2 linked regions of the Alligator mississippiensis genome follow. The protein of the gene in region 2 purifies or fractionates together with the protein of the main gene of each other region. This does not show direct contact. Links are inferred from orthologs where the notes say so. Each region holds a gene or a part of one and is shown on either strand. Other genes may lie near its edges.

What was found.
Region 1: the proteins of DNAJA2 (region 2) and NUDC purify together in Homo sapiens (affinity purification with mass spectrometry; 4 studies listed by BioGRID and IntAct, with this or other methods). This does not show direct contact. The link is inferred for Alligator mississippiensis from reciprocal best matches to the Homo sapiens genes DNAJA2 and NUDC.

The regions. Positions count from the first base shown.
Region 1 is NC_081829.1:2,773,354-2,782,623, forward strand, and holds the start of NUDC (nuclear migration protein nudC), read right to left. Parts: upstream 4,510-9,270; 5' UTR 4,466-4,509; coding exon 4,370-4,465; intron 2,607-4,369; coding exon 2,529-2,606; intron 22-2,528; coding exon 1-21. Other genes in the region: NR0B2 (nuclear receptor subfamily 0 group B member 2), read left to right, coding at 6,987-7,506, 8,243-8,523. UniProt on the Homo sapiens protein: Plays a role in neurogenesis and neuronal migration. Necessary for correct formation of mitotic spindles and chromosome separation during mitosis. Necessary for cytokinesis and cell proliferation.
Region 2 is NC_081833.1:55,127,564-55,137,574, reverse strand, and holds the start of DNAJA2 (dnaJ homolog subfamily A member 2), read right to left. Parts: upstream 4,241-10,011; 5' UTR 4,148-4,240; coding exon 4,070-4,147; intron 3,699-4,069; exon of another isoform or gene 3,220-3,698; coding exon of another isoform or gene 3,199-3,219; intron 956-3,198; coding exon 896-955; intron 204-895; coding exon 1-203. UniProt on the Homo sapiens protein: Co-chaperone of Hsc70. Stimulates ATP hydrolysis and the folding of unfolded proteins mediated by HSPA1A/B (in vitro).

The sequences.
Region 1 (9,270 bases), on a different chromosome or scaffold from region 2:
GTTGAAAGTATCTGTGATAAGCTGAAAACAAAGACCCCCTCAGGGACTGCTGACTTTTAAAGAGGCACCCAAATGGGGGCTGGTGATAGTCAGCTCCCAACCCCCAGCTGCATGGCACATACCTGTTCCTCAGCAGTACTCATGTAAGGCTATTGCCTTCCTTCCCCCCTTTCCCCCCCAGCATTTGACAGAATATTTGGGAAAACTCAGTGTCCAAGGCTTACTCCCTGCCCAGTTTTACTTACGCAGAGCGCACTACCCAGTCCAGGAAGTAAGGACTCCTGTGGTGCACATACTCACACCAGGGCAAAATGAATGCAAAACGATAGGCCAGACAGAATATAACCACTGCGGTTCACAGATGGACATGGCAGGATGATGCTCCGGACCCAGGTCTGGGCCAGAAATTCATTGTAGCATCTTAAGCTATTCATGTGGTCTCTGTGCCTCGCTCCTCTGCAGAAGGGGGATAACACCACCCTAACTCATCAGGGGACTCATAAGACTTTGATAACTGCCAGACTTGTCAAGTCCTTTGAGAACTCCAGATGGAAGAAGTCATGCAAGTGAAACATGCTTTCATGAACTGGATGCAGACACGAGCCAGGCACATTAAGGAAGGCTTTGTCAGCCTGAACTTTCCCCACGTGCTAGAGAATGTGTGTTCAGTCCATTCTGTAAATCCCCCTGCCAAAATTTCTAGGAGAGGCAGCTGAAAGATGAATGATATCATTGAGGAATAAATTCATATATAATCTTCTCTCCAAGCAATCTCAAGTCTCTTGTATCGCAAGGGCTCAGGTACAGCTGTGAAAGGCAGAACATCAAAGTCTACGATGTAAAGGGCTGTAGCGTTCAGAGGCAGAGCTAAGTAAACAGGCAAGAGGCCAACCTGGAGCAATAACCCAGCTATTGATAATACCACAGGTACCGTGCAAGACAGCACGTAGTGAAACTCAGCCTTCCTACAGGCATCAAGGTAATGCTTCCACAGGAAGGATACTATCCAGGGTCAGGAGCCAGATGGGAGGGAAAAGAAGATCTCTTATGCCAAGGAGTAAGATATTAATTCAAAGAAGTTCCAAGGACATGATCAGCCCCTTTCAGGATGAACTATCCCAGAGCAGCTTACAGAAATCAAACCCCCAGCTAGTTACAGCACTGACTGCAGACTGCAACGATGAAGAAGAGATTATGAAGCCTTTGCCTACAAACATGGGAGAACAAGCAAGTCTCCAAAGAGCCATAAAAATACCAGGCAGGTCCATCATGTTGGGAGGAGAATGGAAGGGGATAGGAGTCCTTCCACAATCTTTCCCCAGTCTCAAAAGGTGGTTCAGCCTGGTGGTTTCCCTCCTGCTAGATTCAATTAAATGTTTCAGGCCCAAGGGGCTGTGTTAAGAGTTCCAAAGGGGAAGGGGGAAGTGGGAGAGAATAAATGGCCTCTTCAAGCTCTAGCTGGGGGACTGTGTTGACAGAGACACAATCAGCACGGGCTTGTATTCAGTGTCCTTCGTTCAGAGGCTTGCAAAGCACTTTACAAAAACCAGTATTCTAGTCCAGTTCCAGAGGGGGCACTGGGGCAGGGAGCCATCCCCTCCTATGTAGCGCACAGCCGAAGCCAGGCATCCTGACAGTCAGTCCCTGCCTCTAGCCAATGCCTCAAAGCTCCTCTTGCTTATGCTCTGGAGTGCCAATCGGCAGAAGCTCTATAAATACAGTGCTAATCATCGTCACACATTGATTCTACACATATATGCCTGTCCCTGTGAGATGGGGAAGATTTGTTCCTAAAAAAACTCTTGCAGCTCTTTTGCAGATTTCACTCATTTTCACCCTAGCTCTGTGTTGGGGTTTCCCCATCTCCCTCCCCTTGCAGGTTAGGCAGCAGGTATATTCTATGCAGCACTGGCAATTGTAAGCTTTCCCTCTATATATGACATGGCAATGTTTCCTGAGCTATGTTCTGAAGCCACCCACTGGTGGGGTTGTAAAGCATCAAGTGTGTATCACACGCTGCTGGCTTTTCCTTATTTTGACCACCTCCGGTGCCCCCAACACATTTGGATTGTATCAGCCCTGCACTCAGAGGCACAGGGGCAGCTGCATGGGCAGGGAGACGGACTTTGTGCTTTTCTGAGATGAATAAACAAGGTAACTTAGGGTTATTGATCCCGCGGTGTCTGTCAACGTTAAGTCAGTGTGTCTGGCAGGCTTGCTTTTCAAACAACCCTTTGGCCACAGCGTGACAAAAACCTTCACCATTGATATTATTCGACAAGCAAACAAGCTCAGCCATGGACAAGGGCAGCTCACTCCTACCTTGTTTCACTGGTATATTTCTGCAGCATCGCAAACATTGGGCACAGTTTGAAGATACCACACGGCAACAGGAAGAAAGCACTTTGTGGCACACAGGTCAGATGTCTGCCAGAGGCAGGAAGCATCTCGACGTGAACAGCTGGGCCCGAGCACATAAAAATGACACATAAGGGTCTGTGAGGGGGAAGGATTAGTTGTTTTTTTACCTTCTCTGCCACTCCGTCTTCTCCACCTGTGAAGAAATCCGTTTTCCGTCTCAGGAAACTGAAGAACGTGTTCACAAGCTGGAAAAAGAAAAACACAAGAAGACAGGTAACGTCAAGAGACCTGAATTAAAGAGTCTGAGCTGCAAGAGAGCCTACAAGGAAAGGGAGCAAATCTAGATCTTAGCAGTATTGCGATGAGCAAGTCTTCACTCAGCAGGTAGCCGAGAAGACAACTTCTCGCTTCCTTGTTCTTACTTCCAAGCAGCTGATCTAGCAGAATCTTTACATGGTCGCTCCAACGATTTGGTGAAGCATTTTTGGCCTTTTCCTCTAATTAGGTTTTCACAGGGAGCCCACGGACAGAGAGAAGTAGCAGCTCGAACTGAAGAACGGCATTGCATGCTGGTCCAGATACATGGGACATGAAGACAAAGAACCACTTTTATCAGTTGGCTCTGACGGACTAGATTAGAGGAGACAGCAGAGCACGTGGTGCTCACCAAGATGGTCTCTGCCCACACCTCAGCTGGAAGCAGCGCAATGCTGGTATAAATAGTGTTGCTATTCGTTTCCATAGCCAGTGTGGGCAGACTCATTCCCAAGAACCACAATGACTTAGCCTTCCTATACCTTATCCTCCTAGGTTGCTTGAAGCGCTGTGCACCAGTTGCCACAGCAACTGTTTGATTGGGAGGATCAGCAGCAAAGAAACCCCTTCTATAGGGGCCAGAGACATCGCATTTGTGTTTCAACAGTTTCCTTCCACCATGGCTACAGCCAGAGCATGGCCAGGCTCAGGGACCCGAGTGGCAAACGAGCCACCCGCCACACCGCTACTCACCAGCGAGCTTTTCATCCCTCAGCCTGGACGCTGCCTAAACTGCAGCACGAGGCGAGACCCTCGCCTTTCTTGGATAGCTGTTCAGCCCCCGCACGCCAATGGCGCCATGCTAATAATTAACGTGACAACCCGTTTAAGTGCGAATGCTTTCCCAGCGCAACCGCCGATGCCTCCTTTAAGCGCGGGGAGTTAAACGGAGGAAAACATTTGCAACATTAAGGAATGCACGGACTGCTGGCAAACACCGGGAGGGCCGCAGGCATGGCGCTGTCACGAATGTTCGGTGCTCCTAAAACGACCCCGGAAGACGGGGCCCGAGCTGCTTAAGGCCTCTGGATCTTTATGAAGTGCGGTCTCTTCGTGGACAAATCCCACGGCACTTCGCAAAGGTTGATGCCTTTGTTCCCATTTCACAGACGGGAACGTTTGGGCACCCTTCTTATGTACTTCAGGGGCTTTACTCCAGGGCATCCCAACTTTTTTAGGCTGCGGACCGGCAAGCCACGGACCGGAAGTGACCGGTGTACTGGGGAGCGACAGCCGACCCTTTTTTAGGCTCAATCTAAAAAGAGGATTGGCTGCCGCTCCACGGTACGCCGGTCGCTTCCGGACCTCCAGCGCGGCAGCCGACCCGCCGCGACCTAGCGGTCGGGAGCCTCTGCTTTACTCGCTCCGCCGGAGTCGGTGCTTCGTGCTTCTGAGAGCCCGTGAAAACGACGTGTTTGGCGGCGGCGGCGGGGCTGAGACTGCGTCACTCGACGCCTGTAGAAGCAGCTGGCAAAACCAGCAAGTCCCCTCGAGACACGCCGGCGCTCGTCCCACGACGGGCGCGAAGCCGGACTGTCCGCACACGCGCAAGGAGCGGGGGGCTCCCGCTGCAGCAAGGGGAGTCGAGGTTAAGTACGGGCGGAAAGGGGCATCAGGCGCCGAGGCGAGGGGCACGGCCTAGAGGCTGCAGGAGGAAGAGGAAGACCCCCGCCCCCCGGCCGCCCGGCGCTACCTCCCGCACGCCGCCCGGGTGCTGCTGCGCCATGGCCAGGAGCATGCCATCGAAGCGGTCCTCCTGCTCCGCTACCTCCTCCGCGCTCAGCCCCATGGCGACCCGCAACCGCTGCCCGCGACCCCTCGCCCGGAAGCGGAAACGGGCTCCCCCACCAATCAACGCGCCGCATTCCTCCCGCGACCCCTCGTTGATTGGCCGCCGCCGCGCCCAATCCGCAGACGGGGGGGGGAGGAGGGCGGGCGCTTAGCGCGGCACAGGCGCGCGGCGCTGGTTGCTATAGAGACCGGCGCCGTCTCGCGCCTTCCAGAAGGCTCCGCGTGGCCCGTTGGGCGTCGGAGGGCAGGGGTCGCGGCTGGGTTAGGCCTTTAAAGGGATGGTTGAAAGGATTCGTGGGGGAAGGGGGTGACACGAGTGATGGGGTCACAGCCTTGCCTGGAGGTCAGGGGTCACAGAGGGAGAGGTCACCCCTAGCAGCGCAGGGTTGTGGGGAGGGGAAGGACCCCCCCCACCTTCTCCCACACAATTCCTCCCTTGCTCTCCCGCCTGGGCGGCTCCGCAGCGCAAGAAGACGGCGCGGGATAGATCCGGCGGGGTGCGGCGCATTGCGACGCGAACGCCACGGCCCAGAGCAGCTGAAAGCAGTGGGCCGGCAGAAGAGAAGGCTGAAGCGGGATTCGATGGCGGCTTCAACTACCTGAAAGGCGACGCACGGAGAGGATGGAGACGGGCTGCAGGCAGCGGGGCTGGGAGCCACGGACTCAGTCCCGTGTCCCCCCCGTGTTCCATAGATTCATAGATTGCAGAGTCGGAAGGGACCACAGTGGATCATCACGTCCGACCCCTGCCCCTGGCAGGAAAGAGGGCCGAGGGCAGACGACCCTAGCCAGGTGACTATATCCTCCTCGTGAAGATCTCCAAGCTAGGTGATAGCACCACCTCTCTTGGGATCCCGTTCCAGATCCTGGCCACCCTGACTGTGAAAAATGTCTTCCTAATATCTAACCTAAATCCACTCTCAACTAGTTTACACCCCTTATTCCTAGTCACTCCCTGGGGCGCCCTAGTAAACAGCGCTTCCCCTATCCCCTGTTGACCTCTCCTAATAAATTTATAGGCGGCCACAAGGTCTCCCCTCAGCTGTCCCTTGTGAAGGCTGAAGAGATTCAGCTCTCTCGACCTCCCCCGTAGGGTCTTTCCCGAAGGCCACGAATCATGCGAGTGGCCTCCTCTCGATCTCTCCAGATTCCCCGCGTCCCTCCTGAAGTGCGGCGCCCAAAACTGGACACAGCACTGCAACTGCTGCCTGACCAGTGCCACGTAGAGGGGGAGCGTCACCTCCTTTGATCTGTCAGTCATGCACCTGCTAATGCACGACAAGGTGCGACTGGCCTTGTGGATGGCCTCGTTACACTGCCGGCTCACGTTCATCTTGGAGTCGATTACGACTCCAAGATCCCTCTCTGCCTCCGAGCTGCTGAGAAGGACACTCCCCAACCTACAGGTGTGCTGGGGGTTCCTCCTTCCCAGGTGGAGCACCTTACATTTATTTTTATTAAATTGCATCCTATTTCTCTCTGCCCATTGCTCCAACCTGTCCAGGTCAGCCTGAATCTGCTCCCTCCCCTCCGGTGTACTAACTTTGCCCCATAACTTGGTATCATCAGCAAACTTGGAGAGGGTGCTCTCCACGCCCTCATCCAAATCGCTGATGAAGATATTAAATAATACCGGTCTGAGGACCGAACCCTGCGGGACCCCACTGCCCACCTCCCTCCAGGCCGAGAAGGAACCATCCACCACCAAGAGAAGGGAAGGGAGAGGCTCTCTCGAGATGTTGGTTTAATGAAATCTGATTCTCAAACCCCCCCGTGTTTTTCTGACACCAGGTACCCCAGGTCCCAGCCTTGATCCGAGAACCAGATGCCCTCAGTCCGTTGGGTTTCTTTTCGTTATCTGTAACGACAGCAGCCTGCTGTCAACAAGGTTAGACAAACAACCTGCTGATAACATGACTTCCAGGTTGCTCTTTCCAAGGCCAGAGCCTACAGGTTGTTTGCCACCGGGCTCCTGCTCCAGACAAGTGCTGTGTGTGCATGTGCGCGCTCCTTGGCAATGACACCTGTCATACAGTACTGCCTGATTACGCATCGGGGCCTTGGTACCATGGTACAGGCTGGGTTATCGACATTGTTTATCCTGTTTGGACAACCGAGATAAGCCAGCTGCCCAGCCTGCCATTCTGTCCCGTCCTCCTGGCCCTGGCTGGCACTTTCATTGAGAAAACACTTCTTGACGCCACATGAAGAACTCGCTTCCCCAGCCAATCAGGCGAGAGTCAACTTGTTTTTTAATGAATGCTGCTTTGTCAAAGAGAGGTCAAGGGTGGAAGGGGGTGTTCCACTCACCGCCAGCGCCTTATAAATACCACTGAGCGTAGCAGCCAGAGGGTTGAGGCAGCTGAGCTCAGTGGAAGAGGCTGCAGTCGGAGAGCTTTGACGGGCACAGGAGTTCGCGGTTGTGCTCACAGACTCAGCCTGTCAAGTGCACCCAGATCACCTCCTCCTTCAGAGTCAGTGGGATCTGCTTGGTGGGCAGAGCTCTGAGTGCAGGCAGCATGGACGTGGACTATGAGAGATGCCAGTGCCACAGCGAAGAGAACCGGAACGCCATCCTCTATACCCTCCTGAGCCAAAACCTGAACCACAATCATAGCCCATCCCAGCAGCGCTGCCGGTGCCAGAAGCGTCGCACCGTCTGCCTCCAGACACCCCAGGTCACCTGCCAGGCGGCCTCTGATGTCCTGGTGAAAACAGTCAGCTTCATGAAGAACCTGCCCTCCTTCCAGCTGCTGCCCCGGGAGGACCAGCTCCTCCTGCTGGACAGTTGCTGGGCTCCTCTCTTCATTCTGGGGTTGGTTCAAGAGATGGTGACATTCGACGTGATGGAGACCCCGGCCCCCAGCATGCTCAAGAACATTCTCCTCAATGGCCAGAGCAAGAGGCAGGAGCTTGAGAGGACACAACCCACCCTAGCCGGGGTGCAGCGGCTGCAGTGCTGCCTGAACACGTTCTGGAGCCTGGACCTGAGCCCTAAGGAGTATGCCTACCTGAAAGGAGCCATTCTTTTCAACCCTGGTGAGTGCTCTCAGCAGGGCAGAGGGTACTACACAGAGAATCTGGTCTGGGCTGCTTGAAAGCACGCGTGTACGTGTGTGTGTGTGTGTGCGCGCACGCACGCACATACACACGTGAGCAATGGGGAGGATTATCTTAATGTCATTAATCCATAATGTTAACATTTCACACTTTTCATTCCAGTAGCTCAAAAGTAGGAAGAGTAGCCCCATTTTACAGACAGGTAGACCGAGGCCCAGACTGTTGTAGAGGCTAATTTCAGAGGTGCTAAGCATCCTTAATTCCCACTGACTTCTGGAAATCAGTCCCTTGCCATATGCTTTGGGGAAATATTTTGAATAAGACCGTAGACAGTAAAGATCCCAGGGCACAATTTGGAAAGCTGGAGTTGTCCCTGGTTTCACCGGTCAGTATTTCTCTTCCATGGTTATGCTGCACGGTAGTAAAGAGCTCCTTCCACCCCAGAAGTGGCTGCATCTCAGTGGTGCTGCCTTGCATGGTTTATGAAGTACTTTAGGGTCTCTGTGCTATAGATGGTTAAGGTGTGTGTGTTTCTGTCTGTTCACATGCGTGTGCTCAGTAGAAAGAAATTAAGCTTGATTGCAGCAGCAGGAATATGCCAAAATATTCCAGAGAGGAAGTCAAGTGCCAGTGAGTGGGATTGAGATTGGTGCTTAGGCTGGGAAGCAGAGCCCGTAATTCACATTTCAATTGTTCCTCCTTTCTCTCTCCCTAGACGTCCCAGGTTTAAGGGCCTCCTTGTACATAGAGAGCCTCCAGCGGGAAGCACAGAGAGCGCTGCAGGAAGTTGTAGGACCGCTCCACCCAGAGGACCAGGGCCGCTTTGCCCGCATCTTGCTGATGGCCTCCACCCTGAAGTCCATCTCTCCTGCCCTCATCACAGACCTCTTCTTCCGCCCCATCATCGGCAACGCAGACATTGTTGAGCTGATCACAGAAATGCTGTATGAAATAACTGCCAAGTGGTCAGCTCTTTCATCACGCGTGGCATGCTGATTCTGCAGTTGCTTTCACAGGTGTCTCCTGCTCACCGAGCTGAGTGTCACAGGATGGTAAAGTTAATCTGAGAATGGGACTTAGTGGAAAAAAATTGGACATTACTGAGAGCTGGCCTGGCATGTGTCTTCCACTCAGACTCTGATCACAGATTCCTCAGCTAAGGCATAAAATCACTTCCTAACTTAACTGTTATTCAGCAGATGTTTACATCGGGCCTTGCTCCTGGTACGACAGCAAACTCAGACTGCCAAGCTGTTTCTAAAAGTGCGTGTGCATGGGAAGATAATGGTTCTGCTTCACTCTCCTGTAACTTGAAAACAGTTTGGCCAAAGCCCGTCAAACTTGCCAGACAAAATCATTCTCTGAGCTGATACTTTCCATGGCAAATATTCAGGTCAAAGTGCATCAGTGGGAGAAAGGAGGGAATTGAAATTAAGGCTTCTAACCAGAGGAGGAGGTGACAGGAAGTTACAGCTTTAAAGTGTCATAGAGCATTGCCATCACACAAAAAGAACGTGGTTCCTAGATGTGCTTCCCACCCCCAGCACCTCGTCACCTCAGTGGGAGCTGGGAGCGCCACAGGAAATGACCCTGCAGTACCGAACGGGTCAGATCAGAGCACAAGCCAGACTCCGTGAGTCAGGGGACATCCTGGTCTCACTGAAGTGAATGGGACTTGATCAGAACCGGGCTTCCCCTCCTCCATTCCAGGTGCTGACGGAGAGAGAGAAAACAGGCTTTGGA
Region 2 (10,011 bases):
TCTCCTCTTCTTCTGCCATTGCGACTTCTACTCTGACCACCCATGAAATTGAACAATCCACCACCAAAAATGTGGGAGAAAATATCGTCCATTCCACCACTTCCGCCACTACCTTCTCGAAGCCCCTGTTCTCCATATCGGTCATATAACTCGCGTTTCTCTGGATTCGATAAAACTTCATAGGCAAAGCTTATTTCTTTGAACTAAAAAAGGAACAGCGAGAAAGTGCCATGTTACTTTTACATGCATAGATAGATCTTTTTCCAATACCTTTACCAAGACGGTGCTAGTACACAATTCAGAGTTTAGCTCTGAGCAAGGGTGTGGACACATATTCCAAAACATTTGGTCACCACGCCATTTCAGAGCTTGTATTCCGAGTTCTAAAACATGCAGACTTACTATGTGTTCGCTTTGAACATCACACTTAAATTTATTTCAATACATCTATCAAAGCTAAAATTATTTTACTTTGATTACACTGGCTGAATTGTCTACAAAATCCCCACACTTAACATCTTCAATGAAATGATATAATCCTGGAAAGGCAACCATTTTGCATATCTTACCACCACCCTTCAAATCTCTCCCACCTCCAAGTAGTGCCTCAAAGTATTACCAGCTGATGTCACCTCAACAAGCAGTGAGCAAAGGCCCTTTTCATACTGTACAGTAACTTTGCTTCACTATCATCTTGTCTTACCGCCTTTGTCTCCATTTTGTCACAACTAAAACAGGTATCTCTACGGAACAGACTGTAAAAAAAAAAAAAAATCTATAAAGCTTCTAAAGTAGCAGGTCTCAGAAACCCTTGTACTTCCATCACATCTAGAAGCATAAAAAAAAAAAAACAACCAAAAAAACAACAACTTAGTTTTAAACATCATTATCTTACTTTGTCCCCCGCATTTGGATTCTTGTCAGGATGATATTCCTTGGCCAGTTTTCTGTAGGCCTAATTGGGGGTGGAAAAATGACACAAGCTATTAGTGTGACCATTTCTCATTTCAAGCTTATTTAGGTCAACAAATCTCTAGTCTTCAAAGACAGATTTAAATATTGCTTCCTGGAAGTAGGTAAACACTTCCCACCGGTACTGACAGTGCTTCTCAAACTTTTTTGTACTGGAACCCATTTGTAAACATCTATGGCCAGTCCTGACCCAGTGCCCCTCACTCCTGACCCACTGCTCCCCTGCCCTCCAGTATATGGGGCAGGAGTGGGTGCGTGTGGGACATGGTAGATGCTTGGGCCCCTCCTCATTCGCTGGAACCTTGCCAGATTGCAAGGGAAAAGCCATGGTTCCCGTGTTTTTCTCCATTTTTAAAAGTTTGTTCATGACCCTTTCAAATATTCTTGTGACCCACTTTGAGAAACGGTGGATTAAAACAAACAGAAGTTTAGCCTGTTTATACAACCAAAGTTATATATGAGAGTTTGATGATTTAATTTTACTGAATGCAGGATTAACTATGGTTTAAAATTGGCTCCCATCATTAATTAGGGGTCTACCTAATTCTTGGTTTTTGTGGAATCCACAAAAAACAGCACTGTTCAAAAACAGCAGGAAATTCTGCATTGGCACAATTTCCCATGAAATCAACCTAAAAAGCCCCACTGTATTATTTATATATACACACTGTTTTAGAATGTCCCAATGCCTTCCCCAATACAAAGACAACGCAACAATCACTGCAGACATAAATCAGTGACTGAGAGTTACTGTCTGCTACTGACATACACAAAGTAAATATGCCTCTCTGTCAATCAGCTGCGAGGGGCGGGGCTGCTGGGAAATGCCCACAAAATGGCCTTTGTGCGGCAACCAAGCCACGAAAACTGCTTTGTCTTGCCGCGAATTAAGTAGACTGCTATGCATTAGAATTTAAAATCACCATCCTTGTTGATTCTAGTTTACATATTACACTGAAATTAAACTCTGTCAACAATATTCAGTACTGACACGCAACCATGTAATTATTTCTGAATATGAACAGCTCATAAGCATCATTAGTTAGAGGTTACAGATTCACAGTTTATCACTTATTAAACGATCATGTATGCAAGTTATGTCCCAATTTGTCACTGTCTTTAAGAGTCCATCAATGTTTACAAAATGGCTGCTTCAGCTTCCCAATCAACACCATCTTCAGTTTTTTCCTCCCTCCCTCACCACATAACACCCACAGAAGATTTAGCCTCACTCTGAATTAAGTGTATATTAAATGTATGGAAGTATGTGCGCCTTCCCATCTTGATCAATTCCTGACTGGAAACAGCAGTAGCAGGAGGAAGTCATGTAAAAAATAAGACAATTTTCAAATGGCTTCTTTCCTTTTGAATCACGTTCCGAGTGGCATTATTTTCTCTATACTATTTAGTCATCACTTTGCATGCCCTACCACTACCATTTTAGGGGAGTGAGGTAAAGTTTTGTTAAGAAAGTTTTCAATCAATTATTACAGTTACTTGAAAAAGCCCTTCACCATAAACTACAAGTTAAATCCCTGAAGGGTAGAGACAAGGCTCAGAAATTCAGGCATCCTTGACTTTTTCAGCATATTCTAAACTCCCCCCTCATCCCCCCAAAAGGCAAGAAAAAGCAAGGCATTTCAAGGGGGTTTATATACTGTTGAATATAACAGTAAATCATTTATCAACTTGAATGGTACTTCCCATCATCATTCTAAGAGCTGCTATGCTCAAGTGTGTGCTATATATCTTATGGGGTCAACTACCGATTTCCCATTTTACAGGACTGCATTCAAGTCTCTAGAGTTTAGAGCATTTAGATTAAACTGTTTCTCTAGACTACTACCTCTCAATTGTATTCATTTTTATTTAAGAAAAGAAAGAAAAACCTTAGAGCTTCCATCTTCCTCCATTTTGTGTAGAGAGTTGCCCTGTTACTCTATAGTTCCATTTTTATTAGTTTGCTACACTATTGGGGATTTATGCATGCAAAAAGGGCAAAACAAAACAGAGAGATGGATTTATAGAACAAGAATTTCAGAATCCACCACAGGAGCCAGCAATGGCAGAATCCCGCAGCCTTGGGGACGTTACACAAGGAAGTTAACAGGTATACTAGCAACCCCCCCAGAACGGACACACTTACTGTGGTGTTAAGCACAAGGGTTTTTCCCTCCCCCCCAACTTCATTTAAATAAACAGAGTTACTTTAGTGCCATTTCTCACTTCTAGAACCAGTGCCTGCATTAGTATTTTATTAGGAGATAAGAGTGAATAAGCTGGATCAGCGCAATATTCGGAGTTTGCGTCGTCCCATCAGCATCATGATAAATCCGCAGCGAGTCCATTTTCTTTCACTCGTCTCCGTGCTGCTGTACAAAGCTGCCACCAGAACAGACCGGCACGCACGCGAAGGCACAACTGCATTTAAAAACAAACTTGCAGGCACGTTTCTAAGGTCCACACGCAGCCCCGAATCTGAGTGACCCCTCGGCAAACAGGTGCGGGGAGCTGGCAACTTCATCCCCAGTTCTGGCAAAAGCTGAGCCAGGCTCGGAGCCAGCCCGGGTCGCTGGTCAGAGAAGAGCTGCACCTCCACGGCGGGGAGGGGCCTCCGGCCGCCCTTTCCCTGCCTGTCGCTCCCGGTTCTGACCGACGACCAACTTCTGCTGACCCTCACCCCCCCCCATGGCGGGATCCAAAGTCCTGAACCGGCGCAGCCGCCAGGGCCCAGCGCCACGAGCAAGCAGCGGCCATGAGCTGAGCCGGCTCCGGGCCCGGCACCGCGGGTGCTGGAGGGGGCCGCCGGGCTCCCCGCGATCTCTTTGTTCCCGGCCCCACCAGCGGCACGGGGCGGGGGCGGCACCAGGACAGGCCCCAGCACCGGCCGGGCCTGGCGCCGCCGGCCAAGCGCACAGTCACGGTGGCCGCCCCCGCACCGAGGCCCGAAGCCTCCGCGCCGCGCCGCGCCTCCCCTCCCCCCGCGGCCGGGCCCAACCGGCGCGGCCTTCCCGGCCTGCCCCGCGCGCCCGCGGCCTCGCCGCCTGCCCGGGCCTCCTGGGCCGCGGCGCCCTCCCCCTCCAGGCCCCCGCGCTACCTTCTTCAGCTCGTTGTCGGAGGCGCCGGGCGGGACGCCCAGGATGTCGTAGAGCTTCGTGTCGGCCACGTTCGCCATCGCGGGCACGAGCCGGGTCAGGCCGAGGGGCGGCGAGGGCAGCACCGGGATCGGACGCAAGCCGCCGCGACGTCACCCGCCGACGCACGCGTCACCGCGCCGCGACGCCGGAACCTCCCGCCGCGCGCCCCGCCCTCTAGGCCTCGCTCTCCAGGCCCCGCCCCCTTCCGAGGCCCTGAGCCGAGCCGAGCCGAGCCGGGCGGGCGGTGGGGGAGGGGTCGCGCAGCGCAGCGCAGTGCCTGGGCCTGTCGCTGCGCCTCAAAGGGGCTTTTCCAGCGTGTGTGTGTGTGTGTGTGTGTGTGTGTGTGTGTGTGGGGCCCTTTCTGGCCTTCCTTTGCAGCCCTTTCGTGTTTCACGTTTCAGTGCCTGTGTCTTGCTCTTCCCCTTCTTCTGCAGGACAAGGCCTGGCCATTTCGTAGCTTTTCTGATCCCCTCGGGGTTTTCTCAAGGGCGCCAGGGGCCTGGTTCTGTTTGATGTGTCAGGTATCCAGGCTGTAGCCATATGGGTGTAGAGGCAAAAGCGATCAGGACTCGTGGTAGAGGCGATCCCTTTTATTAGACCAACTAGTTTTTGTAAAAATCCTGATGGTCTAATAAAAGATATCACCTCGACCACAGTAGTGATTTGGTTCCTTTTGAGATGGTCTCAGGTTTCTGTCTGGCCCTCGCAGCTGCCGACATAAAACAACGCTGAATCACAGAGCAGAATTTCTGGAAAAGTTTCCCCCTGGCTAAAGACATGCATCTCACACAGTGTCAGACCTTTCTTTATCTTCGGTGCCGCTGTGGTTGTTTCTCCTTTGTGCCAACCACATATTTTAAAAGGGAAGGGTCCAGCTTGGGTTTCAGCAAGTGAAGAGCAAGCTAGTGTCTGACGTGAGAATAACCTGGCAACACGGCCTGGCTTTACTCCAGGGAGGGTTTTTTTTGGCTGGCTAACTGGCCCCTGCTGCCTGTGAAGCACTGGGATGGGGTCTTCACCATGACATTTGAAACCAGACTTAAGTTTCTCCAGAGTAAAAGAAAGCTTGGATTTGTTTCAGCACCTTGTGCAAGCACAATGCACGATGTCAGGATTGCACTGGCCCACCTGAGTAAAGAGCAATTAATCTCACATGGAGGCCTGGCCCCATTAAGAGCAATCTTAAAAGGAAAAAACAAAAAAATTGGTTGTGCAAGGCTGGTCTTTCTAAATTTTCCAACCCCAGGCTCCTCTCCTCAGGGGGGTTCTTAGCTGTCTCTTGCTAGTAGTTTGGCAGCACCACCGGAGTGTTTCTTTTAACCTGCCATGTTCTAACATGCTCTGGAAAAAGGAAGTACAGGCAGTCCTCAACTTACAGCATTTCGAATTACAACGTTTCGCACATACAACGTTTATAAATTGACACCCTGTTGACACCAAGCATTGTTTGACTTTACAATGCTTGATTCCATGCGACTCCACGCCAGCAAACAAGTTCACTGCGTCGCTCATCTCCCTGGAGAACATCTGTCCAAACTGCCTTGGACACTTTCTTTAAGAAAGCAGACAAGATTCCAGAAAAACCTGCAGCCAAGACTCCTGAGAAGACTTCAGCCAAGAACCCTTCAAAAAGTCCAACCAAGAGCTTTTCAAAAAGTCCAGCAAAGTCACCTCAAAGAATTCCTACCAAACCAATATGATGGCTATTTACAATATAAATACATTAATGTAGCTATATTACTCATCTATAATTGATCGAGTACAAAATTCTGGGGTATTTTTTAGTGAAAATAGGCTATCGGGCCTTGTTTCAGGAACCAATCTCCCATTTATGTTTCTTATGAGAAAATTGGTTCCAAGTTACATTTCAACTTAAAACATAGTTTTCAGGAACCAATTGTGTGGTAAGTCTGAGGACTGCATGTAGCTTGCTTGCTGGGCCCAGTACAGAGTGGATTCTCCCAGCATCTTCGTCCCAAGCAGGAAGGTCTCCAGGGCTTGCAGAGAAGAGTGAAGAATTACCCAGCAGCATAAATGCTCCTGTCTGAGCTACCTGGGGGAAGGGTTCAGAATCTTTTAGGCTCCCACCAACATCAGGCCTGAGTTGAGGATACTGTCAGTGACACATTGCTAGCTAGGAAGTGTAGAGAGACCAAGATCTAAGGAGAGAAGGCTGAGCAGCAGGCTACCTGCATTTGGCCTGGAAAAGAGCATTATGAAGAGGTACTGGGGACTGATTCATTGCTCTAAAGTAGGGGATTTGGTTGCCCTAGGGAGTGTTCATTTGAATTGGTTCAGGGGTATAGGTTGTAGCCGTGTTGGTCTAAGGACATAGGCAGACAAGGCTCATCCAATATCTTTTATTAGACCAACTCAAATAGTAGGAAACAGTCTTCTTAGCAAGCTTTTGGGCACAAATACCCTTCATCGGGCTGAGGAAGCATCTGCAGAATTGAATTGGTATGATTTGGAGGTTCTTCCATGAAGGAGTCTATTGGGTGATGTCTTGCCCCTTTCCACAGCTTTTTCCTGGGCCTTGGGTAGTGCAATTGGCTGGTGGTTTCCCTACCTTCCTGGGGTGATGTGTTGGCAGGCTTATGTCATGTAGGCTATGTGTTCTGTTACTTCGGCAAAATGTTAGTGTCACAAGCATAATGAGAGCCAGGTTCACCACCTAGGGTGCTAATGCCTGCACTTGGAGTGTGTTTCAGTTGCTCTTCAACTAAGACAGCAGCTTTAAAACACCTGACTTAAGAGAGAAAGAGGCAGCTCTTTGGGGGTAGGGTAAGACCAAAACAGAACATACCCGGAACCCTTTGTGTGCATATGGGTGTGACCCAGCCTATTAACCCATAATATGTTTGGAGCCTCTCTTCCTTCCTTCCTTTCCCAAGAGGCCCTTTTCTACCTCAGTGCAAGCCTTCTGTGCTGTGCATAACCAAATACCAAACAACCACATTATTCTAAGGCAAATACATGGAGTAAGGGGTGGGGAAAAGAATGCAACTGAGAGAGAGAGAGAGGTTTTGAAATGGGGTTAGAGAATTGGAAGTTTGCAGGAATAGAAGTGCTTCACCAAACTGGAGTAAAATAAGCAAAAGTGAGATCCTAAGGAATGGTAAGGAATAATTTATTTCTGCTGGGTATTGTTTCCAGCATTTGTCTGAGAGTTATTTGGGCAAAATGTAAACCATGTGATAAATTAAAACAAAACATTTACACCTTGCAAGTGCAATTGTATGTGTTCTGGTCTGCGACTCTCCCCATTCATTCTGTCACTCCCTAGGTCCCCAACCAGTCTCTCCATCCTTCCTCCAAAAAGTTGATATATTACAAATAACATATTAAAGTAAAACAATAGCATAATCAGCTTTATCACATAATTGAGGAATATTGCTACAACTGTGTTTAAAATACAGGCAAGTTTAGATGGTCTTTAGCATTACCAAACTGGGTAGCAGGCTTCAGACTTAAAATAAATGGTATAATCTTCAACTTGTTTCAGGCTGTCTGCAGATGCAAGCTGGCATCAGTTACACTCGGTTCATGTTTTCTTTTTATCCATGAGGCTTAGAGAATTTTCTGAAGTGAAAGTTGAGATTCTGGTCTCACTCTGTGACTCAGGCTGTGGCAAGTTGCTTGTCCTCACAAGGCGTTATGCTTATATGTTGATCCAGCCTTGGCCTGTGCCCAGACAATCCTCTTTACAGATTTTATATTAATCTCACTGCAAGCCAGGACAGAACTTTGTGAGTTTAGAGAGCGCTGTGTGAATAATTAAGCATAGATGAGGTGGTCAATATGAATCATTCTCAGAAAATATATCTTATTACTGAGTCTCAGCAGTTTAATTGAAGGAACTTTCTGTAATCATGGACTGTGACAGACAGTAAGAGTCATTCAGCTTCTTAGAGAATCTTTGAGGGGTAGCAGGATGAGCATGCGAAAAAGTTGATAGGCAGTTCCTAGATATAGCTAAAGTTTCATAGATCCTGCTTCTTCAGACATTTATATGCGTGCTTGCTTTTAAGTATGGGATACAGGTAGGATTACAGTAGTACTAACTGAATCCTGCATTCTTTACAAACCCAAACCATTTCACTTGAGTCATGAGTAACTGGTGCCTCCTGAATCTGGTGGGGGCACCCACAGAAGTATCAGCCGACAGTATCAGTGTCAGCTGTCAGAGGGGGCACCACTCCGTAAGGGGGGCATGTGCACTTCCTACCAGTTGCCTATGACTTGAGTGAATTTTGGTTGAGAGGTCTTAAAGCTTCATACCTTTTTTTCTATCTTGCAAAATAGAGAAAAAAGTGCCAAGTTGCATACTAAACCCATGAAGACTTAAAATGGTTTTATAAACTTCTTTGACACTTTGCCTAAGAATAAGATTTATTTATTTTTCAAGTTGAAACATTCTGCTGCAATGCTGAAAATCCAAACACAATGGTACTGTGTTACTGTTGGAGAACCAGAAAGTAAAACTCCTCAGTGTTGTTTTACTGTTCAAGAAAATATAAACACATGAAGTCAACTGCATCAGTTGTCGAAGGAAAAATATTTTAAACATTCTGTAATAGTCACATGAAAACGTGAGTCAGGTTGAACTGATGTCTACATGAGCTTACCAGTTCACAATGATACTAATAACCAGGAATCCTGGTTTTCTCTGATTTAAAAAAAAAATCCCCAATTTTTGGTTTATATCTACATACATACGCGCGCACACACACACATATATAAATGTGGTGTTTCATTTAAATCATGGAAAAATGTGGAGTTGGGGTTACTTTTTTTAAATAAAAAATTGGGGATATTTTTAAATCAGAAAAAACAGGATTCCTGCTAATAACTCACAGATTGTGGCCTTTCAAGTTATCACCTGTGACTTCTTACTGAACATGTTTAAATTGGTTGTGTGCGCGCATTGGATATACCTTTCCTGGAGCCAGAAATAATGTAACTACCCTAATGCAACACATGCAGTCAAATGATGGGGGGGGGGGGGGGGGGGGGGGGGTTGTCGTCTAAAAACAGAGCATATTTGCTGACTTCAGTTAGGGCAAGGATGTCAAACATGGTTTGTTGGCCAAATCTGCTCAGGGGAGGAGGGGCAAACACACTTAACACCCCTGACTTAGTTTAATACAGACTGATTATGTGGCCCCAGAACCATTCACAACTGGGTGTTGCTAGTTGAAATGCTCTAGAACAAAGGTTCCCAAACTCTTTCATATTGCGTACCCGTTTCCAGATTTACCAGTTGCCTGCATACCCCTACCAGAATACATTTTATATTTTAACATCTTAAATGCCTATTATTATGAAAATTAAATCCACCATTACGCAATTTCTCCCGCATATCCCGCAGAGATGTCTTGCATACCCCCAGGAGCATGTGTACCACAGTTCGGGAGCCCCTGCTCTAGAAAACAAAATGTTGATGCACTTTATAAAATGGCAGTACATTAATGGTCCTGTTGAGCCTTGCTTTGCATCTCATGTAGTCTCAGTGCAAAGTGGATATAGAATGCTACCAAATTAGAAGTTTAACATTTTTTCAACTAATTTTGTAGTGTCATTGCACTAATCAATCAAATTCACTATATGGCATAGGGTGAGTAAGATAACTAGTTGGGTGGAAGTGCTTGACTTCAGGAAGGCTAACTTCAGTGTGCTCAGGAGTCTAGTCAATGTTGCACTGCAGGATAAGAGTATTGACAAGATGGGAGTCCAGGAAGGGTAGTTGTTTCTAAAGGAAGCGATCCTTTGGGCACAGAGGGAGACTATCTCACTACGAGGGAAAAGGGGGAAAGGAGCCAAAAAACTTTCTTGGCTAAACAGGGAAATCCAGGGGAGTCTCAGGGCAAAAAAGAAGGCATATAGGCGGTGGAAGCAGGGG